Linked DNA regions of Caenorhabditis elegans. The protein of the gene in region 2 purifies or fractionates together with the protein of the main gene of each other region. This does not show direct contact. Each region holds a gene or a part of one and is shown on either strand. Other genes may lie near its edges.

What was found.
Region 1: the proteins of lex-1 (region 2) and asfl-1 fractionate together in Caenorhabditis elegans (co-fractionation; one large-scale study listed by BioGRID). This does not show direct contact.
Region 3: the proteins of lex-1 (region 2) and unc-85 fractionate together in Caenorhabditis elegans (co-fractionation; one large-scale study listed by BioGRID). This does not show direct contact.

What each region holds. Positions count from the first base shown.
Region 1 is NC_003279.8:9,656,140-9,659,895, forward strand, and holds the start of asfl-1 (putative histone chaperone asf-1-like protein), read left to right. Parts: upstream 1-2,134; coding exon 2,135-2,246; intron 2,247-2,289; coding exon 2,290-2,582; intron 2,583-2,661; coding exon of another isoform or gene 2,662-2,889; intron 2,890-3,209; coding exon 3,210-3,380; intron 3,381-3,429; coding exon 3,430-3,580; intron 3,581-3,677; coding exon 3,678-3,688; 3' UTR 3,689-3,756. Other genes in the region: lab-1 (Long arms of the bivalent protein 1), read right to left, coding at 1,037-1,231, 1,283-1,405, 1,452-1,551, 1,598-1,665; C03D6.9 (Aa_trans domain-containing protein), read right to left, coding at 2,662-2,889. UniProt on the Caenorhabditis elegans protein: Histone chaperone that facilitates histone deposition and histone exchange and removal during nucleosome assembly and disassembly.
Region 2 is NC_003282.8:12,077,916-12,081,671, forward strand, and holds the start of lex-1 (Tat-binding homolog 7), read left to right. Parts: upstream 1-1,557; 5' UTR 1,558-1,559; coding exon 1,560-1,685; intron 1,686-1,731; coding exon 1,732-1,865; intron 1,866-1,912; coding exon 1,913-2,130; intron 2,131-2,172; coding exon 2,173-3,756. Other genes in the region: tmed-1 (GOLD domain-containing protein), read right to left, coding at 1-34, 84-245. UniProt on the Caenorhabditis elegans protein: Thought to form a complex that enhances transcription from repetitive DNA sequences by modulating chromatin structure.
Region 3 is NC_003280.10:4,700,240-4,703,875, forward strand, and holds unc-85 (putative histone chaperone asf-1), read left to right. Parts: upstream 1-1,829; coding exon 1,830-1,941; intron 1,942-1,990; coding exon 1,991-2,457; intron 2,458-2,505; coding exon 2,506-2,656; intron 2,657-2,725; coding exon 2,726-2,823; 3' UTR 2,824-2,980; downstream 2,981-3,636. Other genes in the region: scc-1 (Sister chromatid cohesion protein 1), read left to right, coding at 1-78, 124-558; F10G7.9 (C3H1-type domain-containing protein), read right to left, coding at 3,245-3,387, 3,518-3,612. UniProt on the Caenorhabditis elegans protein: Histone chaperone that facilitates histone deposition and histone exchange and removal during nucleosome assembly and disassembly.

The DNA.
Region 1 (3,756 bases), on a different chromosome or scaffold from region 2:
ATGTCAGCGCTATTCAAAAATCAATCAATGTCGTGACCGATTGGTGCGCAAAATGGAAATTGAACCTTGCTGAAAACAAAACCAATGTTATCCACTTTGGAAAGCGGAATCCAAAAAATGAATATTATGCAAACGGAATGAAAGTCACCAAAAAGGACTCAGTGAAAGACCTTGGAATCTTCGTCGACGACAAGCTGAACTTCCAGAAGCACATAAACATCATTTCGAACTTAGCCCTTCTCAAATGCCGGCAGTTACTTCGATCCTTCCGCTCAACAAATGCCAGCCTTTACTTCAAATTGTACAATATCTATGTGCAGCCAATATTAAACTACGGATGTGAAATCTACAACCCGATCTCTAAAAATATGATTAAACAACTGGAGTTCCCACTGAAGTTTTTCTCGAGAAAAGTCTTCCAACGCTGCAATCTATCATACTCATCATATGAAAACCGTCTAGCTCAGATGAACCAAAAGTCAGTTCAACACCTGCGGATTCTTCAAATATTGAGGACCTATCACAACATCCTGTCTGGTGAATACCACTTTCCGAATGCCGCATCAACTGTGAGGAAGGCTCGCTCGCCCAGATATCCGTACATGATGTGCCCTTGTGGATCAATCAACGAAAGCTTCCTACTAGTCAATCTTCACCTATGGAACCGTATGTCCAAGTTACTTCCGGGGACAATGAGCCGTCAAATGTTTGCATCACGATTAAATTCTATCCCGTTTAATTATTTTTCCCACACAACTTGATCCCCTTAACTACTTTTGGTTTACAGGATCATTCAAATTATTCAAGTCTGTTTCTCCCGGTGATTATTCTATACTTTCTGTTTTGTTACGACGATTTGAATAAATATATATATATATATATATTCAATGCTTCGAGAGAATAAATGGGAATCTGAACGAGAAACTAAGATTTCTTATATCACATTAGTATATCACAATATTTAAAACTACATTATTTCTTGAAAAAATTATTCACAGCGTTTTTGAGTTTGAAGTTTTTCGATTAATGGTTAATTTCATGATTGACCAGAACACATCGTTTTATCAGAATCCTCAAAATCCTCATCGAAGTCGGAATCCTCGGATGTATCGGAATCCGAATCATATGGATCAAATGTTTCCTCTTTCTGCATTTTTTCATAATTTTCGTCCAATTCATTCACAGAACTCCCCCAATTTGCTTCATTATTACTGATCGAAGACACAGATTCCTGGAAAAATTCCAGACTTGACATATATTCTAAACAAGTTTTGTCAAATACCTGAGGTTGGTCTTCCTTGAAATCTTCGAACATCGTTCCGGTGGATTCTGCCAACTCATCGGGCACCCAGATCACTTTCTTGCACTCGTCCGTTTCACAATTCTCCATAGTTTCAACAGTAACCTATTAAATGTTAGCTTTGTAGGAAATATAAAATAAAATGAATCACCTGATACACATTGTTCTTTGCATTTCCTTTCAGCACCCACGAGATGTCTTGTCCGTCGTCTTTGCCAATTCCTGTTGCATAACGCTTGAACTCAAACAAGCTAAAAATTACCACTTTTTGAAATATTGGAACTTCTGAATGCTTACCTAAGCCGTTTATGGATTTTCAAGATCCACAATGGGCGAGGACGATCATTTTTCTTATGGCTCACCATTGTTGAATAAAGTCGAGGATCGAGTGAAACGGGAAATTGAGAAAGACAAAATGAAAAATAAATTTTCGCGCATCTTGGAGAGGTCAAAAATTCTAATTTTCGTCCTGACTTGCTCGTTTTAATAATTTCTATAATTTGAAAACAATTAATTTTTTACTAATTCAATGTATTATTTTTCTTTAGTTTTGCCTTTTAAAGCCGAGAAAATAAAGTCAACGTTTTTGCGAATAAAAAACAAAAAAAAAACAGGAATTTGTTTCTCAATGGGTTTCACCACGATTAGCCTTCGTCTGTGCAAAAAAACTACGGTAGTTGGAAAAAGTTTTTCGACATTTTATTTTACTGGATCCAGCTGGAGTTTTCAACCACTTTTTACGGGATTTTTGATTTGTTTCTCGTTTTTAAAAACTATCGTTTGAACAGTTTATGAATCTGCTTTCTAATTTCTAATTTTGAGCTTTTTATTCAGATGGCTTCACGTGTTAACATCGTTCAAGTCCAAATTCTCGATAATCCAGCGATGTTTGTCGACAAGTTCAAAATGGAGATCACTTTTGAAGTTTTTGAGCACTTACCACATGGTATGTATATTATTTACACTGCATAAAAATTAAGAATAATCAGATCTCGAATGGGAATTGGTGTACGTTGGATCTGGAACCTCCCGAGACTTCGACCAAGTTCTCGATTCCGCGCTCGTTGGCCCGATTCCTGAAGGACGTCACAAGTTTGTCTTTGATGCAGAACACCCGGATATCTCAAAGATTCCAGTCGAGGATATTGTTGGTGTCAGTGTGCTTCTCCTTCGTTGCAAGTACAACGATCAGGAGTTCATCAATATGGGATGGTTTGTGGCAAATGAGTACACCGACGAAGAGCTCAAAGAGAATCCGCCTGCAAAGCCGCTCATCGAAAAGGTTCTGTTCTTTTCAGGAAAAAAACACTTTATTTCAAAAGTCATTCACACAAAATTATTTTTGATAAATCAAGCACCAGTTATTGTCTAATGACAGTCCATTCCTGATCGTCAGAACGGTTTTCGTCGAGTCCAATAAAGCCCTCCACCTTACTTCCAACGAAGACGATTGCTCCGGCAATTATAAAACTTGCATAAACAATTCCTCCGATAGCTTTGTCGAAAATGTATGTAGCGCCTCTGTAGTTGCTATTTTTGGTCGCTACACTAGCATGAGTTGAATTATTTTGCGCTGCAGTAGCTTTCATTTTCACAATCTGAAGGAAATAAATAAATATTATTAAACGAGCAATGAAACTAATGAAATAATTAAAAATAAAGAACGAAAAATAGTTGAGAGTGAGACAATGACAATGAGAGAACTGAATACGTTGTGCACGCTACCTGTCGAGCAGATGGACATCATCGATCGGGCTCACGCACACAGATGTACTGTATGGGATGACGTAATAAACCATCTGTTGTGGAAAGAGGGAAAAAGTGAAATGCTCTAAATTAATCTCAAAGTTCCTTCAGTTAAAAAATGTAGATAATTCAGTTTTGACCTTGAATTTTCAAAAATTTTCAGCTTTCCCGTAAAATCGAAACCGAAGATCTTCGCGTCACCACATTCCCAATTCGGTGGACTGATGAGGATCCAGTCGCCGAGCCGGTTGATGAAGAGGCAAACAAAGTATTCGATGAGGATGATCTTATGCCATTGCATGATGATGGGCAGGATGATGACGAGGAGGAAGAGGTGGGTAGAATCTAGCATTATCTGAATATAATAATTTACTGTTATTCAGGACGATGATGAGACGGGTCCCAATACTGAAGAAGTTGACTTGAACGAGAGCTTCAACGAACGAATGGCGAATGCACATGACGGAACGGAGCAAAAGAACGGAGAAGAAAGTATGGAACACGATGGAGCAAGTGGAGATGTTGAAATGGGTGGTAAGTGATACTTTCAATCATAAGTTAGATTGATTTTAATTATTTTTTGTTTTGTCTGTATCTCCCTATGATTGTAGATAATCAACTTTTTGTTCAGATAAACACTGATACGAAAGCTACCGAATCGATGGTCGATCCCCTTTCCGATACAACAAAACGCGATTTCAGATCTGGTT
Region 2 (3,756 bases):
TGAAATTGATATTTAAGTCACCACCGTCGATTACCTGAAATCAAGATTTAAAATGCAGCAAATGGTTTAGAATTATAAAATACCTGATAATCAACTTCGAGGGTTTTGTGTTTTGCAAGATCCACAGGTTGAAAAAAGCACTGGAATTTTCCGGCAGGAACTTCGACTGTAAAATCGTACTCTCCACATAGAATAAATGGAGTGATGAGAAGAATTACAGTGATTATATTGGTGAATTCACCCATTGCTGAAATTAATTGATTTTAAGAGAAAGCCAACAAATTGACGATGCATTTTTGTAGTAAAGCTATTGAAAACGAGGCAATAACATATTTTCAAGACAATAATTTCAGAATTACAGCTTCGGAAAATTGTTTAATGCAATTATTTAATTCATTTATATCTTTAATTTTATAATAAATAAGATAAAAACAAAAAATTAACGAAAAACTCGCATAGTTTACGTGTAAATCTTCAGAGTTTGTCTGTGTCCAATAGAGCGCGATTACACCTATTTTTTTTCAAATCAGAATTTTTCTTTCACTGGCGTGATGGAAAGATAAATTACGATTAAAAACGTTCAATAGGTATAAATTTAATTTTTAGTATGTTTTGAAGTTATTTTCATAAGCTTTTAACGCAGAAAACACGACACCAAATAATTTCTGGGCCTGCTTTACAGGAACATTTTCAAAAATAACTCTTGGGTCTTGAAATGCTTACAGTAGTCTTCAGATTTCTTTTTTCCAGTTTTCATTTGTTTTGCGCATGCGTTTTTTGCGATAAATTGTTTAATTTCCTTCACAAATACATTATTTTTACATCCTTATACGTAGAAAACGACGGTATTTCAATTTAGGTAAAAATTTTCAGAGTTTACTGTGTGAAACATCTGAAAATTGATGCCACATGAAATCCTGAGTATCTTCTGTTCACAATTTATTGGTTTTAAACTTAAATATTGGTTTTGATCAGATTTTTTTCTAATTATTTCGAAATTCGGTTAGCCAACGATAGTGAGTAAATATTGTCAATTTCCACAATTTTCCTTTCGTCCATTTTTCTTCAAATTGATTTGATTATTGATTATTTTTCTTATAATTTTCTTGAATTTAAATTCCCCAGTCTATAGAAATTAATTTTAAACTAGTTCTCATTTTGTGTTTCCATAGAGCGCATTTACACTCTTCTCATGCACTTTTCCCCGCCTCGTGCCTGCCTCTCCCATCGCTCGCTCTCTCCAGCCATTCTCATTTCCACATTTACTTTTCACCCAACGATTTCATTTTCGAAAATGTTTTCTGTATAAAATGCATCCGATTTTTACAGTTTAGCTTTCGTTTTTCGTAATGGAAATATAGTAGTTTCGGTTTCATCGATTACTGCTTCATTCTGTACTCTCCCATAATTTTAAAACAAAAGCCGAATTCTTAGATTAAAACATCTACTTATTCCTCCACTATTATCTTTTCTCATCTCGATAAATTAAAATAAGAATTTTTACGTATCATTTTCACTTGTTACATTATCGATTTTTCGAAAATTTCAGCTTTTCAGAGATGCCTCGCTCAGACGGATTTTCTCCGCGCAAAAATTTGCGGAGATCTGCTCGAGATCACTCGCGTTCGTATGCGGGTCAGTGCAACGAGGATTTTGATGACATGTACGCACCATCAAGCAGAAGAGTGAGTTAATTCAAAACATATACATTTTTAAATTGACTATTTACAGAGAAGCAGCGGTGGTGTAGATGGAAATGGGTACACACGTTCCGGACGGAAAATTAATCACAATCGTTATTACGAAGAGGAATATCATGAGGCAATTAGCAGCGAGGAAGATGAAAGACGATATCGAACTCGAAGGTTTTTTGATAATTTTGACAAAAAATATTATAATTGTTAAAATTTAGAAGCTCGAATTCGATGACATACAGACAACAAGTAATGCAGGCGATAGATGAATCCAAGCGAAATCAAAAAGTGCCGCCTGCAAAACGAAAGCGGATATATTTGTCTGACGAGGAAGAGGAAGATTTTGCTGAAGCGGCGCACGTTGAGAACACAGTCCCCGAGCGTGCAACTCGACGTAGCACCAGAAGACGTTCATCAATGCACGAAGAACTTGGAGGTACACGAATCGCATAATTTCAAAAATATAAGCGAATTTCAGTTTCAGAACAGGAAGAGTCGCCGGTTCGCAGGACTCGCAAAGCCGCCAAGCGCCTTGGAAGTGAGCAACCAGAGGAAAATCTAGCAGCAGATGATCCGTTGCCAATGGAAGGAGGTGGCGAGATTGTGCTACCAATTGCTGAAATTGATGGAATGGCTGAACAAGAAAATGAGGACTTGATTGAGAAAATTGGAAGGGAAGAAGAGGAGGAAGGCGCTGAAGAAGATGAGCAAAGCGGTGAAAAAGATCCAGAAGAAGAAGAGGATGATAGCAGCAATGCAGAAAGTTCAGAGGAATCAACTGCTCCACGTCAATACAGTCTTCGCCGCCGTCAACCAGTTGTCCAGTTCAATGCATCAGAAGCTCGTGAAAATCGACGGGCTCGTCTTGAACATCATCGGGTTGCAAATCAAAACAGACATCACCGCAATCGAAATGGATCTCGTCGAAGACGAAGCGATTCGGATTCTGATAGTGATGATATGGTGCTTCCGAGACCTGATAAACGTCAATCGAGGCCTCATATGCATAACCGTGGAGAACGTGAACGTGGTCGATTTATGCCGATCAATATGACCGAAAAAGAATTGCAGTCTGCCCAACACATTCTGATGGATCGAATGAGAAAAACTGATGCTGGTCAAGGTGCAAGTGACATTGATCCAATGAGTGTTGATTCGTCGGTTGGTTTCGATCAAGTTGGAGGACTCGGTCATCATATTCAATCTCTCAAAGAAGTTGTCCTTTTCCCAATGCTTTATCCTGAAGTATTTGAAAAGTTCAGAATAAATCCGCCAAAAGGTGTCGTATTCTATGGGCCCCCAGGAACCGGAAAAACTCTTGTTGCACGTGCTCTTGCGAATGAATGCCGAAGAGGAGCCAACAAAGTTGCATTCTTTATGCGAAAAGGAGCTGATTGTTTGAGTAAATGGGTCGGAGAGTCTGAAAGACAACTTCGACTATTGTTTGATCAAGCATATGCCATGCGTCCATCAATTATCTTTTTTGATGAAATCGATGGTTTAGCTCCAGTTCGTTCTTCGAAACAAGATCAAATTCATGCGAGCATAGTGAGTACATTGTTAGCACTGATGGACGGATTAGATGGTCGAGGAGAAGTTGTTGTAATTGGAGCTACAAATCGATTAGATACTCTTGATCCAGCTCTACGAAGACCAGGACGTTTTGATAGGGAACTCCGTTTTTCCCTTCCTGATTTGAATGCCCGACGACAAATTTTAGATATTCACACTTCCAAATGGGAGGAAAACAAACCGATTCCGGAAACACTCGATGCTATTGCAGAGAGAACTAGTGGATATTGCGGTGCCGATTTGAAATTCTTGTGCACAGAAGCAGTTCTTATTGGATTGAGATCTCGATATCCTCATATCTACATGTGTTCTGAAAGGCTGAAACTCGACGTTGCCACCATTAAAATCACTTCTGAGCATTTTGGACATGCAATGCGGAGGATCACACCTGCTTCCAGACGAGATCTTACAATTCCATCGAGACCATTGGATGAACGAACTTCAATTTTACTTGGAGATACTGTGAGCAACTTGATTTCGTTGAGAATTC
Region 3 (3,636 bases), on a different chromosome or scaffold from region 2:
GACAACTTCGATTTTCCACAAGAAGTAGAACATCAAGAGTGTGCTCCGATCCCTATCCAGAGTGGATTCGCTGGAGAGGTAATTTTTGGTGCGAATTTCAACTCTTAAAATATTATTTTACAGAACAAAGAGAACGAGGACGCAGAGGATTGGTCTGATCCGTTCGGTTCTTCAAATTCCAGCAGACGTGGCCAGCTTGAAGCCTATGGATTCGGAAATACTTCGACCTACAAGGAAGACGATGGCAAATGGGCGAAACGCGCCAAGCACATTCTAAAGAAAGTCTCCGCGGATATTGAGACTTCGGGACAAGCGGACTTCTCATCTGTCACAGCAACTGCCAAGAATCGCAAGCAAGCTGCAGAGCAATTTTATTCGTTGCTTACCCTGGCCAAGTCTCAAGCAATAAGTGTTGATCAATCAGAGCCATACGGAGAGATCGTAATTCGTCCAGGAGCCAATTTCAAAGAAGCATGTCCACTGAGCTCTCCGAAACCGATGGGACTTGGAAATACAATGGAAAATTCCACTATGAGAACCCCAATGAGACCAGTTTAATCGTTTTAGCTTATTATTATTACTCGCCATGCATAGTTTAACCTCTTCATTGTATATGGTATCTCGATTTTCTTAAAAGCAAGTATTATTTTTATTCCACGATTATTCATATACGGATATTATTTTTGCGGTATTATTTGTTCGAAAAGTACGAATGTACTATCTTTTTCTGTAAATAAAAAGCATCACGGTTTTAATGTTCTTGTTAATTGCTCAGGTTCCGATTAGTCGAGAGAAGAATAGCGAAAAAAAAAAGATTAACTCGGCTCTACTCAACTTCAACGTTTCCGTGTACAATTTCATTCATTCCATCTAGTTTCAAGTGATTTGAGATTCGCTTTCTTCGTATGAAAAAATGACTACATAATTATGAAACTTGGTGAATTTCATCTACAAACGCGTAAACGTTATTAAAAAAGCTGTTAAAATCTGGAAATTACATTTTTCCATAACTTTCAAGACAGGACACTCCGCTGCATTAGAAAATGTCTTCGAGACTAAATGTACGGATTTTACTAAATTTTGAGGCAATTCCGAATAATTTTTGCATTTCAGGCCCACCGTGAAACATTCACGAGGGTACGCGCAGAAAGAGAAACGCAGAGGGGGTACGTTTTCGTAAGGGGATTTTTTCGTAAGGAACGCTTTCAGTAGGGCAATGTGCGGCGCGCCTTTTCGCAAGCCCGCCGCACAGTCCTTCGCAATCGATTCGAAATCGATTGAAACCCGTTTTTGTCATCGAAAATTCTGAAAATATCCGTATTTAGCTCGAATAAAACTAATTAATTTCCATTAAAAATCCGTTTTTAATTGAATTCCGTTCGAAATTTCCTGTTGGAAAAATAAATAAATAAATACGAAGAAGCGTGCGGCGCATTGCAAAAAGCCGTGCGGCGCATTGCGAAGGACTGTGTGGCGGGCTTGCGAAAAGGCGCGCCGCACATTGCCCTACTGAAAGCGTTCCTTACGAAAAAATCCCCTTACGAAAACGTACCCCCTCGAAACGCAGAGAACAAAATGCAAGCGCGCTCCACCGGTACGCGCCAATCGCCACCATTTTAACTTACATAATTGCGGGAATTTTTGATTTCTCATTTTTTCTCATCATTTGCGGATTCATTTTTGCAATTTCATTTACCTAAAATTGATACACTTTTTGTTAAAAATGATTTTTTTTTCAGTTTTATTTTGTTTCATGCCAATACTGTTGTGAATTGTCTTTTATTTTGAAAAAGTGGGCTCCTAAATAATTAATTATATTTTTCTTTCAGATGGCTTCCCGTGTCAACATTGTTCAAGTACAAATTCTCGACAATCCTGCGATGTTTGTCGACAAATTCAAGTTGGAGATCACATTTGAAGTTTTTGAGCACTTGCCGCATGGTAAGAAAGAGGAAAATATAAACTCATCGATAATAATGATAATTTTCAGATCTCGAATGGGAATTGGTCTACGTCGGATCCGGAACATCCCGAGACTTTGACCAAGTTCTCGATTCAGCGCTCGTTGGTCCAATTCCAGAAGGACGCCACAAGTTTGTGTTCGACGCGGATCATCCGGATATCTCGAAGATCCCAGTCGATGATATCGTCGGTGTCAGCGTACTTCTCCTGCGCTGCAAGTACAACGATCAGGAGTTTATCAATATGGGATGGTTCGTGGCAAATGAGTACACCGAGGAAGAGCTCAAAGAGAATCCCCCATCGCAGCCACTCATCGAAAAGCTTTCCCGCAAAGTCGAAACTGAAGATCTTCGCATCACCACATTCCCGATTCGCTGGACTGATGAGGATCCGGTCGCAGAGCCTGTCGAGGATGAGGCTAACAGAGTATTCGCGGAAGATGACCTCATGCCTCTGAATGATGATGGCCAGGAAGATGACGATGAGGAGGAAGAGGTGAGAAAATGAATTTTACTTATTCAAAAATTAAATAATTTTATTCAGGATGATGACGAGATGGAGGCCAACGCTGAAGAAGTGGATTTGAACGAGAGCTTCAATGAACGATTGGCCAATGCACTTGACGGGGCCGAACAGAAAGGCGCAGATGAGAAAATGGAGGACGATGGAGCAAATGAGGATGTTGATATGGCTGGTAAGTGTTACTTGGTTTCTCTAACCCCTTCTTGTTTCGTGATGTGTGCTTCTCACCCTGTAATTATAGATGACGAGCCTGGCGTTCAGATCAACACTGACACGAAAGTTCCGGAATCGATGGCGGAGCCACTCTCAGACAAGACAAACAACGAAATGGTCCAGTGATTTCACTTCCAGTTAATTTATATATTTTGAACTTATTTTTATTCCCACCCGATTTTCAGTGACTGTCAAAAATTCACATAATTCGTTCTTTCATTTTTTTTCTTTTCAAGAATTTTCACTTTGAATGTTTTCCGAATAAAACTGTACAGTGTCATTCATTCAATGTTTTTCTTAAAACAAACAACTGAATTATATAAAACTGGTTTATTGTGATTGTACTATATATATAATACACCGGAGTAAAATAAACAGGCAAATTGATATGACAGTTTGAACGTCAGCTTGATTTGTAGAGATCACACCGTTTCAGTAAAGAAATTGATTTAAAAAGAAAATAACTGGAATTTTTAAAAATGTCTAGCGAGTTCTACTTTTGATTTTCCTCGATTTTTACTACATCCTATCCATTTTCTCGTCCGGTTCATCGCCGATTGGCGAAAAAAGCGAACAACTTGCTTTTGTATTCTGGTGTCTGACGAATGACCACATTGAAGAATTGATCCATTAGCTTTTCAAATTCTCGGAATTCCGGTAGAAAGTGCAATGTTTGTTTGACAGCCGGCTCTGAAACGGGCGAGGATTACGGTAGCTACGGGTGACCTGAAAAGTTAGATAATCCTCCAATGGGACGAGTGGGAATCAATGAAAGACACGGGGGGAAGTATAACAGAGAATAATCGGCGTGTAGAAGAACCTATGTCGGATTCGTTGTATTTAAAAGCTTCGCGGAATAGGCCTTCGAGAAGTTGTGCTTGTTGTTCAGCATCAGTAACGTCGTGAAGATGAAGACTGAAAAAACTTTTGTTTAATAAA